Linked DNA regions of Danio rerio. The protein of the gene in region 1 interacts with the protein of each later gene in a pairwise test. Links are inferred from orthologs where the notes say so. Each region holds a gene or a part of one and is shown in the gene's direction. Other genes may lie near its edges.

The links. The genes of interacting proteins can lie anywhere in the genome.
Region 2: the proteins of myo5b (region 1) and rab25a interact in binary tests that used the Homo sapiens proteins (3 or more experiments, as listed by UniProt). The link is inferred for Danio rerio from reciprocal best matches to the Homo sapiens genes MYO5B and RAB25.
Region 3: the proteins of myo5b (region 1) and trim54 interact in binary tests that used the Homo sapiens proteins (3 or more experiments, as listed by UniProt). The two-hybrid records come from large-scale screens. The link is inferred for Danio rerio from reciprocal best matches to the Homo sapiens genes MYO5B and TRIM54.

The regions. Positions count from the first base shown.
Region 1 is NC_133196.1:23,940,871-23,947,854, reverse strand, and holds part of myo5b (unconventional myosin-Vb), read left to right. Parts: intron 1-1,919; exon of another isoform or gene 1,920-1,957; coding exon of another isoform or gene 1,958-2,004; intron 2,005-2,139; coding exon 2,140-2,226; intron 2,227-2,381; coding exon 2,382-2,493; intron 2,494-4,293; coding exon 4,294-4,505; intron 4,506-5,266; coding exon 5,267-5,423; intron 5,424-6,984. UniProt on the Homo sapiens protein: May be involved in vesicular trafficking via its association with the CART complex. The CART complex is necessary for efficient transferrin receptor recycling but not for EGFR degradation.
Region 2 is NC_133194.1:8,471,750-8,479,471, reverse strand, and holds the start of rab25a (ras-related protein Rab-25a), read left to right. Parts: upstream 1-2,786; 5' UTR 2,787-2,938; coding exon 2,939-2,975; intron 2,976-3,420; coding exon 3,421-3,616; intron 3,617-5,897; coding exon 5,898-6,091; intron 6,092-7,361; coding exon 7,362-7,442; intron 7,443-7,722. UniProt on the Homo sapiens protein: The small GTPases Rab are key regulators of intracellular membrane trafficking, from the formation of transport vesicles to their fusion with membranes.
Region 3 is NC_133195.1:42,034,053-42,041,836, reverse strand, and holds the start of trim54 (tripartite motif-containing protein 54), read left to right. Parts: upstream 1-2,848; 5' UTR 2,849-2,960; coding exon 2,961-3,128; intron 3,129-7,343; coding exon 7,344-7,516; intron 7,517-7,784. UniProt on the Homo sapiens protein: May bind and stabilize microtubules during myotubes formation.

The DNA.
Region 1 (6,984 bases):
TGTATTTGGTTTAATATGGTTTAATATTAGGTATGAATTTGGCAGAAAGGTGGTTATATTCACCTTTAGTCATACTTAGTAAGCATAACATATCCGGGTCCGTTTTGGAAAAGAGATATAAACAAGGTTTGAAAATTCAGTTTCTAGTGAGGGAACTAAATGTGGCAACTGCTTTAAGACCCTTAAAATATGTATCTTTTTTTGCTATATTTAAATACATTTATTTGTAGTTTCGGGACAGAATTTGATTGATAGACCTCTGTAGCGTGAACATATTATCACAGTTATCTTTTAAAACTATAAATTTTTGAACTTGAACTGGTTTAAATTAAATAGGCAAGTTTCATGAATTTAATTCTTGTAATCATTAATAATATCTAGATTGTACATTAAAGAGAATGTTCTGTTTTCAGTTTATGATTTATGTGTATAATATATGTTTAGAGTAAAATGTAGTTTGTTTTAACTGATAAACTAGTAATTTCTGTCATTTATTAAAGAACTGATGTTGTAGTATTTTTTGCATAACAACAAAAAAGGGGGCCATGTTTTTCAGACATGTTTATATTCATTTTAAACAACACAATAATAATGTTTAACTTCAAAAGTCTTCATAAATACACATTTGGTGTAATAACTCTGATTTTTAATCTCGACCAATTGTCATTTTGTAAAAAAAAAAAAAAAAAGATCTACATTTGGGGAAACAAATTGTCATAGCTTTTATAGAATAAAACAATCATTAACATTTTATTCAACAGGCCCGTAGCCAGCCTGGTGAAAGGGGTTGTTCATTTTTTCTCAAAAAGCTTTTTTGCAGTTATTCACCGTATTTTTTTTTTTTAATGATGAACTTTAAATACTGCATTTTAGTGATATTTTAAGTACTATTTTTAGCTGGATTAGCTTGTCGATTGGTCATCATAACCACACTTTTTGAGGTACTAAAACATTTACTAAATATTTTAAATAAAGAAATATGAAAAACATTTATTAAAAAATACAAGTTTATTACATCATATATCTTGTATCTGTTAAAGTTTTAAAATAAAAACAAACTGGCCAGCACATTCAACGTTCCTCAATCAGAATCTTAATTATAAAAACATTAATAATAAAACATTAATATTAATAATGTAGAGCTTTTTGATTTTTCTAAACTTTTTTGTAACTAAAAGTACATTTTGAAAGTTCATGGATAAAAACAATAGCCTAATTAGTATAAAAACTTACTTTAATATGGGCTTCTTTTGGTGCTTTCAAGAATAAGGTCCAAGATTCAAAATAAAAGTTACTTGTAGTAAAAGAAGATTTCACTTTCGTCATATACTGTCTTTTTAAAACATGGACTATAATTTTTTACTTTTATTGGAAGCCTTCTTTGATCCCTTCTCAGTTTATGATGGCACTGCAGTCAAAATAAGACAAATGAGCTCATGTATGGGACAAATTCTGGACCTTTTATTGGTGGGGGGTGAGTTTTTCGAACCACCCCCACCCCCTGACTACTGGCCTGTCAAACCCAAACCTACTACATCTAAAAAAATCCATACTGAGTATTTTCAGGTGGTCTCTTTGTTTCCTCACTAAAGCTCTTTATTGTCAAAAACTATATATTTAAATCAACATATTGAAAGCAAAACTCAGAAATCCTCTAAATGTACAAATTACATACAATACACACAAATATAATTAAGTATACTAAAATACTATGCACATTTTAAAAACATTATGTCGGTTGAATGTATTTATGTGCTTATTTTTCTTGTAAAATGTACAACCCTGAGCAAAATGCCGAGTCTTGTTTGTGTCCTCAAAATTCCTGAGCACAAGGGCCCCTTCAAGGATGCTTAATTGAGAGAGTATTGTCAGTCACATGCTCTTGAGGTTTCGAACACACAGTCTCAGAGCTATGAGTCAGTAAGCCTCTGGTCCCTGAGCGGACAGCAGCATCCCAATGCCTCTCTCTCGGGAGATGTGCTCTATGCTCAAGAGAAAGATCCGGTAGGTCTAGATAACCCCCCCGAATTTCCTGTGGTCCAACACACACGCGCTCTTGTTCTCAACCCAGCGTCAAGATCAACTTCTTGTGTTGTTGTTTTTTTTTAAATTCTTTAAGATGTCTTTTGCTTTCTGTAGGTTTGATTCTAGAAGAGCTGTTCAGCAACTAAGAGCATGTGGTGTTCTGGAGACCATTCGCATTAGCGCCGCCGGCTATCCATCACGGTAATCAATCTACAGCTCTTTTCTTTCTTGTTTGATTTATCTGACTTCAGTTTATAAACCTCAGGGTCTCCCCAGTAGAATTCCATAATATTTCTGTATTGACTTCAATAGTCATTCAAACTGATTTCCTCTTCACATCTGATGTTTTTTCTTAGATGGACATATCCAGATTTCTTCAGCAGATATCGAGTGCTCATGACAAAGAAGGATCTGTCAGTCGGAGACAAGAAGCAGGTCTGTAAGAACCTGCTGGAGATCTTGATCAAGGTAAGACCAGTTTAAATATCACTTCCACAAATGTACTTGCTGTTTTCAACGCTGATTACATTTACAGTTAAAGTCAAAATTATTAGCTCTTCTGTGACTTTTATTCTTTTTCGTTTTTCTTTCCTTTTTTAAGTAGTTCCCAAATTATGCTTAACAGAGCAAGGAATTTTTCCACAATATTTTCTATAATCTTTTTTTCATATGGAGAAAGTCTTATTTATTTTGTCTAGAATAAAATCTATTTTAAAAAAATGTATCATTTAATGTTAAAATTATTAGCCCCTTTAAGCTATATATATTTTTTTGATTGTCTACTGATTTGCCTGATTACCCTACGTAAACCTAATTACCTTAGTTAAGCCTTTAAATTGCACTTTAAGATGAATACTAGCATCTTGAAAAATATCTAGTTATATTTTACTCTCTATATTATTATTGTATTATTTACTTTCATCATAGCAAAAATAAAATAAATCAGTTATTTGAAATTAGTTACTAAAACTATTATGTTTAGAAATGTATTGAAAAAATGAACAGAGGAGTTAATATTTCAGGAGGGGTTAATAATTCTAACTTTAACTGTGCATGCACACTTATAATAGGATTTTGGTCGATTTGATTGAGCGTATAATAATTATAACCATAATCAATGTAAATTGTGATTTTAATTACAATGAACAGGCTAGTAAACACCTTGATGCTGCGGTCACACTAGAGTTGGAGCATGCGGAAGTATGGCCCTGAAAACGGGCGGAAATAAATAAGATGATTAGACATTTTAAAAAGCGAGCTAATGGTCCATATTTTACATTTCTTTTCAAAGAGGTCATGTTTTGGTCTTCAACTGGTCTCACACAGATGCCATGTTTTGTTTTGTTTTGTTTTCACTTCATAACTTCATTTTAACAATACATTCATCAGCGCAACTCACTACACTGTTACAGCTCTGAAAATTCAACTTTATTTCAGAATATTTGTCAGGTTTTTGTCCTCAACCACTTTTGTGTGTAGGACTGTTTTTTATACATTTCGTCCAAAGACTTTTGTTTAATTTTTTATTTTTGACTCATTTTTTTGAATAATTTTGCTGTTAAATAAGTGGAATATTTCAGCGTCATGATGTGGAGCTGTGATAAAGTCATGACGTGCCTGGATTTACTTTAGCCGTGTGATAATCTAAAAATTGCTGAATGTTCATCAGCCAATCATAATCAAGCATTCATCAGCGCCTGCACATGTATATCTATTATTTCACAATATTATTGTTTCTGTTTTTGATCAAAAAGTTTTTTATAAAGCTTTTTTTTCACTTTCGTCAATTGGTGAAGCTTATTCTTCGACATTGGCTTCCTTGGTTTGGGACTTGTGGAGCTGCGCATCAGTGGAGTTGCTCTTCAGTGTTCAGTGTTTGGGCTCAGCAGAGACATTTATATTACATTAAACTAAGCTAAAATTTATCAGTGAAAACTGGACTAAAGCGGTTTTAATTTACTAGAGACTTCTTTGACACAATCTACATAGTAAAAATCACTATAGAAATAAAGATGAATTGATATGAATGAAATTAATGCAGCTTTGTTGCAGTGACTGTGACCCACTGGTAGTGAGTTTATTATATCAGATTTAATTTTTTATAACAAATACAGATTAACTATTAATTTTTCTGCTCTGAGTTAAATATATAATCAATCCTGCAACATTATCTTTTATTAACATACATTTATATTTGACGACATATCTTTCAATCAAAGATAGTTATCTTGAGTAATCCTGTTTATTGTGACTCTGTTTCTCCTTCAGGATCCAGATAAGTTCCAGTTTGGAAAGACTAAGATCTTCTTCAGGGCGGGTCAGGTGGCCTATCTGGAGAAGCTCAGAGCCGATAAGTTCCGCTTCGCCTGTATTAAGATCCAGAAGACTGTGCGAGGATGGCTGCAGAGGATTCGGTATCGCAAGATTCGCAAGTCTGCCATCACTTTACAAAGATACGGCCGGGGTTACTTGGCACGCAGGTGAGTGTCTGAGTTGATGGCTATTAGCTTAAAGGTGTATTTTAAGGAGATCCCTTATGGTTACTCAGTCAACTTCCTTTTGAGTGCAATAATATGGGAGTTATTCTCTACATCAGTAGATGCTGTTTCTGATCTTCCTTAATTGCCTCATTTGTAGTTCTGATGATTCCTCTGGGAACGTATGCATCATGATATCATGAATGTAAATAAATGCAGCGAGACATTTAGTTGTATTAGTAATGTGACCTACATGACCTATATTATGTTAACTTGTGTGCATTGTTTGTTTTGACAGCAAATTTTGATTTCATTTTAGTCTTATTTCAGTCTTCTTCGTGGATTGTAGTTTAAGTTTAATTTTATTTTGCTAAATTTATCAAATTTTAGTTAACTAAATCTACTCTAGATAAATTAAAGTTAGTTTTTTAGTAATTTTCTTTTGGTTTAGTCCCTTATTTATCAGGGGTCGCCAGAGTGGAATACTCAACCCAGTACTGGAAAATAGTTAAATCATAATATATTAATAATACCTCAACTTAATGTTCATTATTAAGACTGTAATAAGCTGATTTGCATTAAAAGTCACTGAAGAAAACCGTGTTTAAGCTTTTAGCCAAAAATTAGCATTGATTTAGTTAAGCTATTTTAAGCGTAAACGTCTACATCTTAGGTGTCATAAGACTCATATGACATCTTTTAAAAAAGGAATAATAGCAGGAAGCGCTAATGCTTCAATTACAACTTTTCTCATTGTCTCTCAGGTACGCAGAGATGCTTCGCCTGACCCGAGCAGCAGTCATTTGTCAGAAGCAGTACCGCATGGTACAGGTTCGCCGGGAGTATCTGAGGGTCCGTCGGGCTGTAATCACCATTCAAGCATTCACCCGAGGCATGTTCATACGCAGGTTATATCAGGAGGTACAGCACTGCATTTTTATCTTTCACTCTCTCTCTGTTTACCTCATAAAAGCAATTTTTTAAGGGGACATAATATGCAAAAATCACTTTTTTGTGGATTTAAAACACAGTTATTTGGCAACAGTCTGTGAATGTACAGTAGCCACCCTCTATTGGTAAATAATAATTAATTGTATTTTTTATCACACTTGCAAAACAATGCAAAAAAAACTTTGTACATGTCATCGGAGCAAGAGTATCTATTTGTGGACTGCAAGAAATGGGCGTAACATGAAGAAGGCGTAACTTGTAGTAAGTTAGATGCGTAACTTGCATCTATTGAAATCCCATTGAACCATATGAGATGTCAAACTAGATGTTGTTAGCAAGCCGGTGGAAATATGTACCAGAGAACATTTTCAGCAAATGTTTTTATGAATTTTCTCCAAATTTATCAACAACCTATTCATTTGATATAGTGTTATAGTCATTTAGAAACTCTGACTTCTTAGTCTGTTTGTCATGACAGTACAATAATAACTGTGATGGTTGGGTTTAGGGTTGTGGTAGGCATAGACGTTAATAACTGTAATGGTTGGGTTTAAGTGTGGAGTAGGTGTAGACCAGAGCTATTCAATTAGTTTGTCGTGGGGGCCAGTCCATAAAAAGCATCCCAAACGAGGGGCCGGAGAGATATGACTAGCAATATAAGTGATGACACAACAGCATATAAGAGCCCATATGCTGTATTTGTGGTCATAAAGACACCCACGTTGACTTTTTCTACATTAAAACGTTAATATGTTGTATTTTTAAACTGCATATCATCACTGCATTGTACAATGTGGCTTTTTTACAAGCATATCTAAAGGTTGTATTTCGAGGCACAAAATCAGTGTCTTGCTCAGTAGGCTTTTTCTACATTCAGACACATTCTTATGTTATGTTTTAAACTGCGTAACAATTTGGGATGCAATGATTATAGATTTTGGTTGTACGATTATAGTCTAAAGAATAATCATGGTTTCACAGTTATCACCATTACTATGCCTTTATTATATTTTAAACACTACTAGTTTAGAAAATAAGAAGAAAACTGCTTAGATTTTAAAGCATTGTTTATTGCTGCTCAGTAATCAAATACAGCACAAAATATTTATAAAAAACAAACAGTAGTCCATTTCTCTTTTTGGACTTAAAAATAAATTGCGAGCGCCAGCAGGGCGCAAATGCATCGGTCCACTTGCAAGCCGTGCGTGCGCCGCTCCCAATATGCGCACGTCTCTATAGGAAATATTGTATTTGTGTGCAGAAAAGACACAATATGTGAACAGCTTGCTGGAATAATTAATCCAATGTGCGTTTAGGCAAAACTTTTAGTTGCAGCAGCTTTTTTTCTGTGCACCAGAAATGCAGCGTTGAGAAGCCTGTAATGAATAAAAGCGGGGTTAAAAGTGAAATCAGCTAATCATTGCACCCTTAATAATATCAGTGCATTGTACAAAAGGCCTTTTCAACAAACCAATACAAATGTTTTCGGCTGCTCGCACCACTCGCCTAATGTCAGGTGACTCACTCTCTG
Region 2 (7,722 bases), on another chromosome or scaffold:
CGCTGAAATGTGTGCTGTTAACATACAAACTTTTAAATTTATCAATAAGCTATATGCACAGCTAGTTTTTTTTAGCCAATGATAAACTTCTAGCGAAAGCTTTATAAAAGCTTTAATTTCATAAGGTTTCTTTTACAGCATCGATGTTGTAATATAATTACAATACATTCAGTTAAATATTTGGTTGGTAAAGCATAAAAACCGTTTAAATGCAGGCGCCGTCATTAGCAGCGAGTAAGCGCAAAAACTTTAAAAAAAATACTGAGGAAAAATTAATTTCCATATTTTAATGACATGGTGTGGAAAAATAGTCTATAAATTAATGCAGTGTTTTTATGCTAGGTCTGATACCCACTATATATCGCATCTCAGCCAGGCAGTGAAGATTGCTGTTATTTAAAGAAATCAGATCTTAAACGCTGCAATTTAGTTTGGGATGACAATTAACCGGAAGCAATGGGGCTGACTGACTGAAATTAAAAGTTTGTGTGCATATACCCCATTGTGTGTAAGATGGAGGAAAAAACAACAGTGAAGCAATTACTTTTCAAAGTGAAATAAAATGATAGGCATTATAAAATTAATGGTTTTCTTCAAATCAAGCACAAGCACTCAATATAAATTACATTTTTGTCATTTAAAAACGTTTCCCAAAAATTAAACTAAAGTACATTAATTTAAGGTGGCATGGTGGCTTAGTGGTTAGTGCTGTTGCATAGAGTTTGCATGTTCTCCGCAAGTTGGTTTCCTCTAGGTGCTCCGGTTTCTCCCACAGTCCAAAGACATGTGCTATAGGTGAATTAAATAAACTAAATTGGCCCTGTGTATGAATGTGTGTGTGAATGATAGAGTGTATGGGTGTTTTCCAGTACTGGGTTGTGCCCAAGGTGCAAATTATACATTCACCAACAGGAGGGTAACCTTTTTGGTATGTTAACGTTAGTTTGTGTAATACATGCTTTAGTGAATCACATGAATGTATTTATTTGAGCTAGTTTAATTAATCTGATTTATTAATAAACATATTTAAGTTTCCAGTGTTTTGTGCGATATTTAGTGTATTCTGACCTACGATATCCTCTGATTAGCTATTCCAGAGTTTACTGTAGGTCAAACTATAAAAACTATGCATCTAATTTGAGTTCACTTTCAGGTTATATGTAGAAACAAACTGCTGTTTTACAAGAAAAGTGTCTTACGAACACTTTGGTTGTCTATCGGTGCTTTGATCTGATGGTTTCAGACTGATAAATAATTTGTTTCTCACATAGACTGATTGTGCATTCACAATGATATGAATAAATATAGGGGTGGTCAAATGTATATATAATCTATTTTTTTCATTCATTTTATTTTATTTTCAGTCCATTTATTAATCAGAAGTTGCTACAGCAGAATAAACCGCCAACTTATAGCCAGGGCCAGACGGAATCTGCGGACGTTTTTTGCTATTTCTGCTGAGAATTTTGGTAAAAATCTGTGGTTTTCTGCGGAATTATTTTGGGAGTATCCAGCAGAGTATCATAACTAAGACCTTAATGTATTAAATAAAAAGAAATAAATTACTGAATAAAAACTGAATAAATTCAGATATACACACTTACTCAAGTAAATAAACAGAATTAATGATGGGCTAAAAATCTGCAGAAATCTGCAGAATTCTGCGGAAAATCTGCAGAATTCTGTGTGCGCAGATTCTGTGTGGGCCTACTTATAGCATATGTTTTACACAACAGATGCCCTTCCAGCTGCATCACTGGGGAACACCCATACACACTCATTCACACACACTATGGACAATTTATCTATGGTCTATACCCAATTCACCTATATAGCACATGTCTTTGGACTGTGGGGGAAATCGGAGAACACGGAGGAAACCCATGCGAACACAGGGAGAACACGCAAACTCCACACAGAAATGCCAACTGACCCAGCCGGGGCTTGAACCAGCAACCTTCTTGTTGTAAGGCGATGGTGCTACCTACTGTGCCACTGTGACGCCCCTATTATTATCAGTTTTTATATTATCTTTTAAGAAACAAATCAGAGTAACCTCTATTTCTCTCTTTTTAGAGGACTGACCCCCATACACGCTGTTTTGATGTGCTTCAGGTGGGATAAAGCATTATTTAGGGGGGTCAGTTCTCCCGCGAAACCCCCTGTAATTCGCACCCTGGTTGCAACGCTGTAAGTGCATCCGCTGCATAAAACATATGCTAAAATAGTTGGCGGTTCACTCCACTGTGTCGATCTTGAAGGAAAGCTGAAGGAAAGCTGAAGGAAAATGAATGAATGAACATTCATTTAATAAGATTACACACATATTTCACACCCCTGGCTGTCTGTACCAAACAATATACACAATGGTTATTGTGAAAAAAGATGCATGAACAGCAGAGGTGTGATTCACAAGCCTAAACATGAGCCAAACACTGGGCTAAACAGGTAAATTTGCATTAAAATGAGCTAAATTCAAAGCTTTTGTTTTGATTACGTCAAACTAATCAAAACCCCTTTTATTTTATGTTTACAGAAACTCAACCTGTTGCCTATAAAGATACATGTTGATGCAGGACGGCTTGTTTTTCTGACTCAGCTCTTCTGATATTTGTTTTTGCGCATACAGAACTGGATACATACACGCAGTCGGAGTGAAGGAACGGTGATTTAACAGTAGTGTGTGTGAGAGAATGAAGTCACTCCCATTGTGTGTGTGTGTGTGTGTGTGTGTCAGTGGTTCTACCAGTTTCACCTGCTTTCCCACCCAAACTGTCTCAAAGAAGAGTCTGGCTGAATCTGCATTTAGACCTGCAAGAATGGATCAATAAAGCTGTCGGAGAAACCTGAGCATCTGCTTTTCTCCTCCCAGTGGATTCTGAGCTCGAGTAACACGTATGCACTAAACACAGACTGACACATTACAGCTAGAGACAACATGGGGACAGATTTAGCCTACAACTTTGTCTTCAAAGGTAAGTTTCAGTCAGCTGATTGAAGATTAAATGCTTTTACTGTGATTGCTGCGTCTGATGCCTAGCATGCTAATCTAATATATAAAAGATATTTGTTATTTTGTATTTTCATGTATTTCCAATTGTGTCAGAAATTGAAAGGGGTAGTTCACCCAAAAATTAATATTTACTCACTATTTATTCACCTTCAAGCGGTTCCAGAATAGATATGAAGATATTTTGAGGAAAGTTAAAAATCTGTAACCATTGACTTTCATAGTAGGAAAACAAATACAATGGAAGTCAATGGAAACAGGTTTCCAGCATTTTTCTAAATATCTTCTTTTGTGTTCAACAGAAGAAAGAATGTCAAACAGGTTTGCAACTAGTGAAGTGTGGAAATTGTATTTTCCTTTAACTACGCATCATTCAAAGTAAGTTAAATGCTGTCTTGGTTGTCTTTCAGTGGTTTTAATTGGAGAATCAGGGGTTGGAAAGAGCAACCTGCTGTCAAGGTTTACCAAAAACGAGTTCAACCATGACAGTCGCACCACTATTGGCGTGGAGTTCAGCACTCGCTCTGTTCAGGTGGACAGTATCACCATCAAAGCCCAGATCTGGGACACTGCGGGTCTAGAGCGCTACAGGGCCATCACCTCAGCGTACGTCCCTCACTTCATCTTCCTTTCATCTCAGATTCATGTACATTTCCTTGTTTTAGATTATCTGGAATTTGTTGCAATTGATTTAGACTCACACCCAGAACCACTCCTATATGTCTTTTTAACTTGGTACACAGTTTAAAGGATAGTTACTGACAGCTACAGTGCTTTTTGCATTATTTTACTATAGCATAGAAAGTGATTGTGTTTTAAAGTTTCTACCACTACACTTAAAAATGCAAAATTATTTCAACTCAACCAGTCAAATTTCTAATTCATTCATTCATTCATTCATTCATTCATTCATTCATTCATTCATTCATTCATTCATTCATTCATTCATTCATTTATTTTCCTTTGGCTAAGTCTCTATTTCAGAGGTAACCACAGTGGAATGAACCACTGACTGTTCCAGTATATATTTTACACAGCATATGCAATCTTGGGTGCAAACCCTGTACTGGGAAACACCCATACACACTCTTTCACACACATACGGCGAATTTAGTTTATTCAAGTCACCTACAGTGCATGTCTTTGGACTGTGGGGGCAACCAGAGCACCCGGAGGAAACCCACGGCAACATGCAAACTGTACACAGAAATGCCAACTGACCCAGCTGGGACTTGAAGCAGAGATCTTCTTGCTGTGAGGCGACAGTGCTAACCACTGAGCCACCGTGCCACCCTAATTTCTATTTCAACTAGTCAAATATTGGCATACCCAGTTACTGGGTTAAAATTGAAGTGCGATGGACACATCTGTGCTGCCTTCAACATTCAATCAGATGAAGGTCCCTTCTGAGGAAGGAAGTGAAGCAGAATTTTGATTAGGAAATGCCTTGATGCCGTCCTACCACTAAATTTTAGAGTTTTCAGACGATAGGAATTAGAATTTAACCATGGTTATGTTAAATATATAGTTACTGAAATACTGCAGAATATTGAGTTCTTCCTAAAAGATGCTTCTAGATTAGTAAATTATACTATTTAGAAGTTTTGATTTGGTAATTTATTATTATTATATATTTTAAGGGTTTTATGCTTATCAAGGATGCATTTATTTGATTAAAATTTATCAATTGTTATTACAAGTTTGAATAAAAAAATCTGTATAATTTTTTTATCAATTACCAGGATTTTGAATACAGCTTTGTATCTCAATAGATTTTATTTGATGGTTTAATGGTCGAATACGGTGGCCGAGAGAGCTCAAACGAAGTGAATTTAAAGTTAATTGTGCAATTTGTCAGATAATAAGAGATAAAAATATAATTACAACACATTTTAGATCTTTGCAGCATGTTTGAGCTCTCATGGCCAACGTACTCGAGATATTTATTATTAAATCGTTGTAGTGCTTTTTAATAATTTTGTAGTAACTGTAATGCATTTTTGCCTGGATTCATTAATTAACAGAAGATTCAAAAGAATGGCAGTATCCATACATTTATTATATATGTCTTTAAAGTAACTTTTATTTAAATTTAATGCATTCCTGCTGAATAAATTCTTCTTACTATGCTCACACTGAATAAAAATGTTCATGTTGTTGTTGACATACAGAGAAAAAGCATCTTAATTAACATTATTAACTGTTCATTACTGTTGGCATTTCTGTATTTGCATGTTCTCCCTGTGTTGGCGTGAGTTTTCTCCGGGTGCTCCGGTATCCCCCACAGTCCAAAGACATGCGCTATAGGTGAAATGGATGAAGTAAATTGGCTGTGTGTGTATGTGAGAGTGTATGGGTTTTTCCCAGTACTAGTGTGCGGCTGGAGGGGTATTCATTCATCCATTCATTTTCTTTTCGGCTTATTCCCTTTATTAATCTGGGGTCGCCACAGGGGAATGAACCGCTAACTTATCCAGCATATGTTTTACGCAGCGGATGCCCTTCCAGCCACAACCCATCTCTAGGAAAGCTGGATGGGCATCTGCTGTGTAAAACATATGGTGGAATAGTTGGCGGCTCATTCCGCTGTGGTGACCCCTGATAAATAAGCGACTAAGCCGAAGGAAAATTAATGAGTATTATTAATAAATACATTAGCCAAAAGTTCAAGTTTAATGGACCTTATTGTAAACTGTTACGATTAATATCTTACTGGGCCGAAACCTTGTAAACTTTGAAGTGTAGATATTGTGTGATTACAACATCCCGTTCCCCCAGCTTCCCCCGTAGGATGCAATACATACTTATTAAAAACCAAATAATGAATCATGTGAGCCAAATGCAATTGAGTTTCTTGTGTGTTTACATGTAATGCTGTTTGTTTTAGGTATTACAGAGGAGCAGTGGGTGCGCTGCTGGTCTATGACATCACCAAACACCTGACCTATGAGAGCGTGGAGCGCTGGCTGAAGGAACTGTATGATCACGCTGATCCTCATATCGTGGTCATGCTGGTGGGCAATAAAAATGACCTGGCAACTGTGCGCACTGTACCCACAGAGGAGGCCAAAGACTTTGCAGGTATCTGCAGTTTATAGCCCTCAGTTTAAGACATTTCAAGCATGAAAGAGGACCTTAATGTTGTCATTGCTCACCCTCTTTTAGAGAATACTTGATAACACATTTTGATTGATTGAATATTGATTGTTTCAATTCATAAATTAATTCATTCATTCATTATTGATTGATTGATTGATTGATTGATTAATTAATGACTTCATTAATTCGTTAAGGCATTAATTAATTAATTAATTCGTTAAGTCATTCAATTAATTAATTCATCGATTCCACTTATTTATTAATTTAATTTATTCATTTAGTTCATTCATTCACTCATTAACTGATTCATTCATTTATTCATTCATTCCATTCATTAATTATTGATTGATTTCATTCATCCATTGATTTGGTTGATTGATTGATTCATTGATTGATTCATTCACTCATTGATTCATTAATGGAATTCAGTCACTGATTCCATTTATAAATTTTGACTAACTTCATTCATCCATTAATTTGTTTGATTCATTCATTCATTCACTCATTCATTATTGTTTGATTTATTTGATTGATTTATTTAATAGATTCATTCATCGATTGATTAGATTGCTTGATAAATTTATTCATTCATTAATTTTTTGATTTGATTCCATTCTATTCCTTCTTTCTTTTATTCATTATCGATTAATTAATTAATTAATTAATTCATTCATTCATTCATTCATTCATTCATTCATTCATTCATTCATTCATTAATTCATTAATTAATTAATTAATTAATTAATTAATTAATTAATTAATTAATTAATTCATTCATTCATTCATTCCATCAATTCATTCATTATTGATGCATTTATTAGATTATTTCATTATTGGTTGATTAATTTGATTCCATTCATTCATCATTAATTGATTGATATATTTATTCATTTGATTCATTATTGATTTTATTCATTTAATTTGTTCATTCATTATTGATTGATTGATTCATTAATTGATTCAATTATTTCAATTATCCACAAATTCCATTCATTCATTCATTATTGATTGATTTCATTCATTCACATATTTATTTGATTGATTGATTGATTGATTGATTGATTGATTGATTCATTCATTCATTCATTCATTTATTCATTCATTCATCTGTGTGCAATATAAGACACACTCTGTGCAATGAGACCCTAGCAATTTTACATTTGTTATTATTGAAATGCATATGGATTCACAGAATAATCCCAATTAGAAAATGTTTAATTATTAATGATATTTTCTTGTCTGAAAAAATCAGATGCCAATGGCTTACTTTTTATGGAGACTTCAGCATTAGAGTCGACTAATGTTGAATCTGCTTTCCTCGAAGTTCTAACAGGTAAGTTTTATTTTTACTTAACGTCACTGATTAAGACTGAACCCAAACCTTACCTTCAACCCATATCTCATTAGGAGATGAGCAAATCCTACTAAAATGTACAAATGAGATTACACAAATTAGCTACTAAATTAAAAAGTTACATAAGTTACAAACATTGGGCACTCATACATAGTATATCAAACTAGTTGATACCTTTATGACTCACTTTAAATGCATTATTTTTTAACTCTGCCCCCACTGATTCAATTGCCCCTCTTATACTCTCCTCATAACTCCC
Region 3 (7,784 bases), on another chromosome or scaffold:
CAATCAAAACAATGACATTAAATACACTGTAAAAGGTGATTAGTTGACTTTAAAAAAAATTGAGTTAACCTTTTGTAACATAAAACTAATATTTTGACAACTTAATTTTTATAATTATGCACCAAGTTCATTTGCTTAATTTTAGGGAAACAAATAAAGTGAGATTTATTTATAAACTAATTTCGAGAGGATCACGTGCTTATGATTGTTCTCAGCTGGTCTCCCATCAGCTTATGATTGATTCATCATTCAGATGATTACTAACTCACTATAAATAACCAGAGTTTTCTTATCTCAATATTTCTTGTCTTGAAGAACCCCCCCCCCCCTCCCCAACCACCCTTACACCCCCTCCTTTTTACATGGGAGACACGGCAGCCCAGTTATTAGCACTGTTGCCTCAAAGCAAAAATGTCTCCGGTTAAAGTCCATTCTAAACCAGTTGACATTTCTGTGTGGAGTTTGCTCATTCTCCCCATGCTCGAGTGGGTTTTCCCTTGGGTCTCTGGTTTCCTCCCACAACCCAAAAAACACGCAACCTAAGTAAATTGAGCATACCAAATTGATACCATAGCCAAGCTCTTAGCGAGTACACCTCTTTTCAGCCATCATACAGTATATCGGTCATTAGCCAGAAATAAGCCAGGGGGAGTTCATTGAGATCTATCTGAACTCAAACTCCCCTCTCGCCCTGCAAACGGGAGGGAGCCCAGGGCTCAAGGATCTCATAAGCTCAGTGCTTTCTCCCGGGACAGTATGCCAAACGGGCTTTATTATCAATCATCTGCTGAGTGTGAACTCTTGAACTTACTTTAAGTAACTAATAGCTATTTACAGTGTACATACTGTAGCATTTAAAATGAAAGTAAATGTGGTTTCAATGTTTCAGATAACTTCTGTCAAAATAAAATGTCAGAATGTGCAAGATAATGTTTTACCTCCAGCTTAACTTGTTTAAAAATTTAGACAAACTTATTACTAACTGCTTATTAAAATATTAAATATAAAATGTTTAATAATTATTTTTTTGTGACATGAATCTCACTGAAAATGGTAAAATCTGGTGGTTTGTAGCACATAAAGATTTAAAATGATAATTAAGTATTTCAGGGCTGCAATGTGATCCTTAAATAAAGACTTTTAATATGAAATCGAATTATTATTCTGAATATGCCTCAGATTTTTATTGTTTTTAGATTTACCGCCACTCTGAAAGACATTTTATAATAGTTAAATCATAGTTTTTTTTTTCAACATTACATTACAACGCTTCAGTCACTTTATTTTAAGGTATAATTCATGCTATTCATAAACCATTAACTAAAACTTTTAGCTTGTTAGACTACTAATAAGCTGCTTATTAACAGTTTGTGAGGTAGTAGTTGGGTTTATGTGTTGAATAGGATAGTGCGTGTAGAATAAGTATTATTAAACAGCCAATATCTTAATAACAGGCAGGTAATAATCCAGTAGTAAATAAATACTTAAACAAAAGTCTTACTAAACCTTCATTTTGCTTTGTTGCTTAACCTCTTTTACATGTGACTAATTAAACTTAATAAAATTCCAATATAATCTAAACTACACTGATATTAATGCATTGCATAGCATTCAATGTATTACTACACTTCAAAAAATGTCTTTTGCTGCTTAAACTACTCTCTTAAAATAAGCTGAAACAACACAATTCTTAAGGGTTTTTTAGGGCACACTTAATATTGGAAAAACTAAGTTAACTTAAGTGAATTGAACAAAAAAATAATATTAAAACAATTAAGTTAACATAAATTATTTGTGTTGAGACAACTTGAGGGAATTGTGTGGAACCCAGCATTTTAACAGTTTATATACTATATTTGTAAACACTGGATTTGCAGGTACAGTGGGGGGAATAAGTATTGAACATGTCACCATTTATAAAACACATAACATGAAATGCATATATAAAAAGAAAACCAACTAAATTAGTTTACAAATTAAGTGTTGTGTAATAAAATGAAATGAGACAGGAAAAAGTATTAAACACATGAAGAAAGAGAGGTGTAGAAAGACAGTGAAAGCCCAGACAGCAGCTGAAATCTCTTAGTAGTTCTTCAGCAACACTCTGCCCTTCATCATTGTAAATGAATATTAGCTGCTTCAGTCCAACATCTACATTATCAGGATGATGAAAATAAAACCACAGTGGACATTTCAGCAAGACAATGATCTAAAACACAGTCAAGGAAACTCTCAAATGCTTTCAGAGATAGGAAATCAAGCTGTAGAATGGCCCAGCCAATCACCTGATTTGAATCCAATATAGAATATGAAATAATGATCAGATTTGATAGACGAGACCTGAGAGCCATCAAGACTTTTACACTGTTGAAGCCAGTGAAAAAAGTCACACCTGAGCAATGCATATGACTTCATTCTCCAAATGAGAGGCGTCTTTAAGCTGCCAAGTCAACAGCACCTTTAGAAATATGTTTTCTGAGAAAAATGTTGACGTGTTACTTATTTCCCCCACTGTATATCCACATAATCTATGTGTTCAGAGCACTTAGGCTTTGTTTTAGGTGGGTTATATCATCGGCGCCAGCTCGGGCTCATGGGCCTGCTTGTCTCACTAGCCTTTGAGTCGCACACACCAGCTGCTTGGTCTGCCATGCCCACTTTCTGCTCAAGTTACCACAGATAACACAACTCTGAGCAATCCGTTCTCCCACCCCTCTCTCTTGCTCTCTCTCTACCCCGGACCCCTCAATGCAGCGCTAACTGGGGTATTCAAAGTGATATTAAGGGGGTGTGCAGTTTGGACAGTAACCCAAGCCAGTACAAACACAGCCCAAATATATCCTCTGCCACTCTACGGTTGGCGATTGATTGGGCATCTGGATGAAGACTGGCACTGCTGGAGAATAACAGAAGGAAAGGAAGTTTAGGATCTTAAGCTATTGACTGAATTTGGTGTCCAAATGAACTTCACTTTGGGCTTCAAACCGTCGATCGGAGATTCCAGCTCAATGGAGAACTTGGAGAGGCAACTGATTTGCCCCATCTGTCTGGAGATATTCAGCAAGCCTGTCGTCATTTTACCCTGCCAGCACAATCTCTGCAGGAAGTGTGCCAATGATGTTTTCCAGGTAATGCTTTATTGCTGTTATTATATAGTGTACGGCCTGTTTTGAACTGTAGTATCTAGAATGCTCATTTAACTTTTGAGAGCTTTTTTGTAATTGTAAAAGCTGGAAGAGGATCTGTGTTTTCAAGCCATCTATTTTCCCTTTAGAATGCCTAATGAGTTTTTAAAATACTGAGTTTGGATTTATAAGTTGAAACTGGTTCAAATGATGCAAAGAGACTTTTTGTTCTTTAATGTAAGGCAAGATGAAGCAAGGCAAACTTTATTTATAGAGCACAATTTTAAGCAACTGTATTTGATCCAAAGTGCTTTGCAATAAAATAAACTAGACAATAAAACTAAAAAACTGGTATTAAATACAAGGAAATGTATATGTTTAAAAGTAATACTAAAATACAAGTTAAAAAAATAATAATAATAATAAATAACATGCATGCATCACTCAAAGGCAAGAGAGTAAAAATAAGTCTTTAAGTTAGATTTAAAAGCATCCAATGAAGGAGAAATCCTGATGTTCAGGGGGGGACTGTTACAGAGCCTTGGGGACACAGAAAGCTCGATCACCTTTTGGTTTGAAGCAAGACCGAGGGACAAAAAAAAAAATTTGGTCATGGAATCTTAACGGTCTACAAGCTGAATAAGGCCTAATAAGTTCACTGACATAGACCGGGGCAGAATAGTGCACTGCTTTATAAGTGAAATGAAGAATTTTAAAATCAACTCTGTATTTTATAGGTAGCCAGTGCAATGAGGCAAGGACAGGGAAGATATGATCTCTTTTCTTAGTTCCTGTTATTAATATAGCGGCTGCAATGTACGCCCCCCACCCCCCAAAAAATCGTAAATTAGCAGTTTTTTGTATGATTCACCCCCTAAACCCCTCACCCCTTCCCCCAACAGAAAAATAGTACTTTAATATATTTTCAGAATTTAAAAAAAAAAAGTTACTTTCAATTTCAAATGTATTTGCTGTATTTTAGATCAAATATATGCAGACTTGGTAAGTGAATAATCTTCTTTCAAAAAACAATACAATTATTTCACCGAACACAATAAGAACGCAATTTCAACATTTTGTGATAACATACCCAAATGATTAAAATACATTTGATTTATTTTAAAAATCATGGTAATTATTATATTTTAAATGTATTTTTAAAATGTAATAACATTATTATACACTGTAAAATTATTTTGTAAACTAGCAGTTTTTGTGATTCACGTTGTTTATTGATGCTTTTATTTATTTGTTCGTTTAATTTTGTTGTTTGTTTTTGTGGAGTTTTCAAAAAAAAAAAAAAAAAACCTCAATATCAATGTTACAATTTTTTTTTTAAACAATAGCTCAGGGTAAACAAGAACATTCAAAAGCCCTCAGTCCCCCATCCCACCCCAAAGGAGGAGATTAAAAAACGCACACAACAACATAAGCACCTACAAGAATTGCAACTAAATAAATATACATAAAATATAAATAACACACACAAACATTAATAAAAAGGGCAGAGATCTTTCTTGAAAAAAAAAATCATATAAATCAGTGAAGAGATGTGTTGTATTCCTGACAAAATTAATTACAAAAGTTTATTTATGCTTTTGAATTACATTATCGGACCTTGATCTTTCTTCCAATAACATATAACCTTGAAAAGTTTAAAAATGTGCCGTTTATGAACCTTTTTTATACTTTAAAGTGATATGTTGTCTGGGTTGGTGCTCTATACGGTACCGAATTGTGTGAAACCTAGCATTTTTTTTTACACTTTGGCATGTTCAAGTGTGTTCAGTTAGTGTTGGAGCAAAACTCTGCAGGGACACCAGCCCTCCAAGATCGAGTTTGTCCATCCCTTAACTAATTGATCAGATATTAAAATGTTTTAAGTTATATTGTTAATGATGTTGTACAGTATTCCCTTAGCTGAGGCCTAATATGAAACCAGAACTCAAAGTACCATAGCATCTGTCATACAGAGATTAATGATCCATTTAGGCTTTCTTTTTTGTGCCAATCTCTTTTACTTTGCTCCTTTTGGCATTAGTTTATTCATCTCATCATCAAGACAAGTTCATCCTTTAGCAGTCATTATTAGTGTTGTTTCTTCTCTCTCTGCGAAGTGAGTGCCATTAGGTCAGACTTCAACATGACTGAGTGCTTCTAATTATACTTTTAACAGTTATAAAAGATATCTGATGGGAACATTACACATTTTTTTGGGCAAATAGATTGATTCTGGCTGGAAGTGCATTCACAGCGTAAAACATATGCTAGAATAGTTGGCGGTTCATTCTGTTGTGGTTACCCCGGATAAATAAGGAACTCAGCTGAAGGAAAATTAATGAATAATACAATAATAATAACACATTTAATTTACAAAGCTCCTTTAAAAGTTACTTTTTTAAAGTGCTTTGCCTACAAACCTCATTTATTAAAGGGAACAACAGTAAAAGATCAAAACAGATTATTGAAAACATGTTAATTAAAAGCAGTCCTAGACAATTCATCATTATATATACTCCAGACTGTTGTAAATACGCTGTAGGCCATTTACAGATGTGGATTAAAGGTAAAAATATTCATAAGACCTTGGTATTATCAGGAGTCATGTAAATTAGTTTGCCTCTATATGTTTAGACTCTTAATCATTAGCACATTTCACACAGACATTTTCAGTAAATCCTCCTCAAATATTCAGCCCGATATCACGAGTAAACATAACTATGTATATTGTCAGAAAAGTAACTATTCATACTCATTCACTGATATGTAAATGTAGATTTTTTTTTTTTTTTAAAGGAGATGTGCCTTCAAACTCCACTCCTGTCCCTACCCCTCATTGGTGGATGAGCAAATCAAACTGAAATGTATGAATGAGATTGAAATGAATATTTTATTAATTTCTCAGTGGATATAGGCAATGTATTTCGGTGCATGAAAAACAGATATAATTATTAAAATAATATTTTAGTCACCACACATATTTAGAAATCGAAAGATAATACAATAAAAAATCAAGCAAAATATACAAAAATAAATAAATAAATAAAAATACAACCTACAAAGTTTCAACAATTTTTTTTACTTATTTATTTAATCATTTTGCTTCTCTTGTTTTTTTCCTTTTTAAAAATTTTGTATTTAATATTTTTCTATAATAAAAATTTGGGTGTACTAGTTTTTGGATCGTTATCATATATGTTATTTTGTCAGACAAGCTCCAGATTTGGCTTCAGTACTGACTAATCTAATGTATATGCACAAATATAATATTATATAGCTTCCTATTAAAAACATGAATTTAAAAGATTTCTGTATGGTCAAAGTAACTTTAAAAAATTACTGTAATTTGTTTCAGCTAAATGTATTTATTGAGGGCACATAAGCAGTACCTGAAGATATCTTTGTCAGAGTAACTAATAGACTAACGTTACTGTTGTTAAAGCCTCGACCTGGCAGTATTACAAACATGTTTTAAAAAAGATATGTTGCCATCGCGAATGCTTTCTCATTCATTCATTCATTCATTTACATCTCGGCTTAGTCCCTTTATTATTAATTTGGGGTCACCACAGCGGAATGAACCACCAACTTACCCAGCATATGTTTTACACAGCGGATGCCCTTCCAGCAGCAACCCATCACTGGGAAACACCCATACACTCCCATTCACACACATAGTACACTACAAACAATTTAGCCTACCCAATTCACCTATAGAGCATGTCTTTGGACTTGAGGGGGACATACAAACTCCACACAGAAATGCCAACTGATCCAGCCGGGGCTTGAACCAGCGACCTTCTTGCTGTGAGGTGATCGTGCAACCCACTGTGCCACCATAACGCCCTGATGCTTTCTTATATAATATGGGAATGCTTCTCTTGTCTAAATAAAATTTACTTTGGCCACAGACTTTCTTCACATTTGAATCAAGTAATGGCAGATGGCAAAACATGACCTGGCGAGTTAAGTAAACATGAATTAGATTGTTATATAGAGTGTATTTAGAGTTACTATAATAAATAAGGTAACTTTTTTGCTTTAAAATCAGAATCCATAATTTTTCACTTAATCAAATATAAAAACGTACTTCAAATGAAAGACAAGGTAGATTCAGCACTTTTTTCAGTGCATTAAATGTTTAATGTCTGTGAAATGCTATTCCATCAAGTTGTTTGCTTTTAATGGCACCCCTTTTTTTGTCTTTCATTGCTCCAGGCCTCCAACCCTCTTTGGCAAAACCGGGCCTCAACCACTGTGTCCACAGGGGGGCGTTTCCGCTGCCCATCATGTCGCCATGAGGTGGTTTTGGATCGGCATGGTGTCTACGGCCTTCAGAGAAATCTGCTAGTGGAGAATATCATAGATATCTACAAATCAGAATCCACCAGGTCAGTCTTGTGTTGGGCTAGCCTGTGAACCAGTTCCAAGTTCCACCAAGGATAAACATTTCTCTTCTCGAAGCACTTACATTAATTAAGTCTATTTGCTGTTCATACTTCAAAGCCGTGTTCTGTATAGAGATCCAGCAACGCCCCAAGCTGTTGTGACACAACACTCTTGTGACACAACACTACAGTACCTGACACTTCTTCTGTTTCATCAATGAAGCTGAAACCCGGTGTAGTGACACATATATGTGATTTACTCTTATGTGGG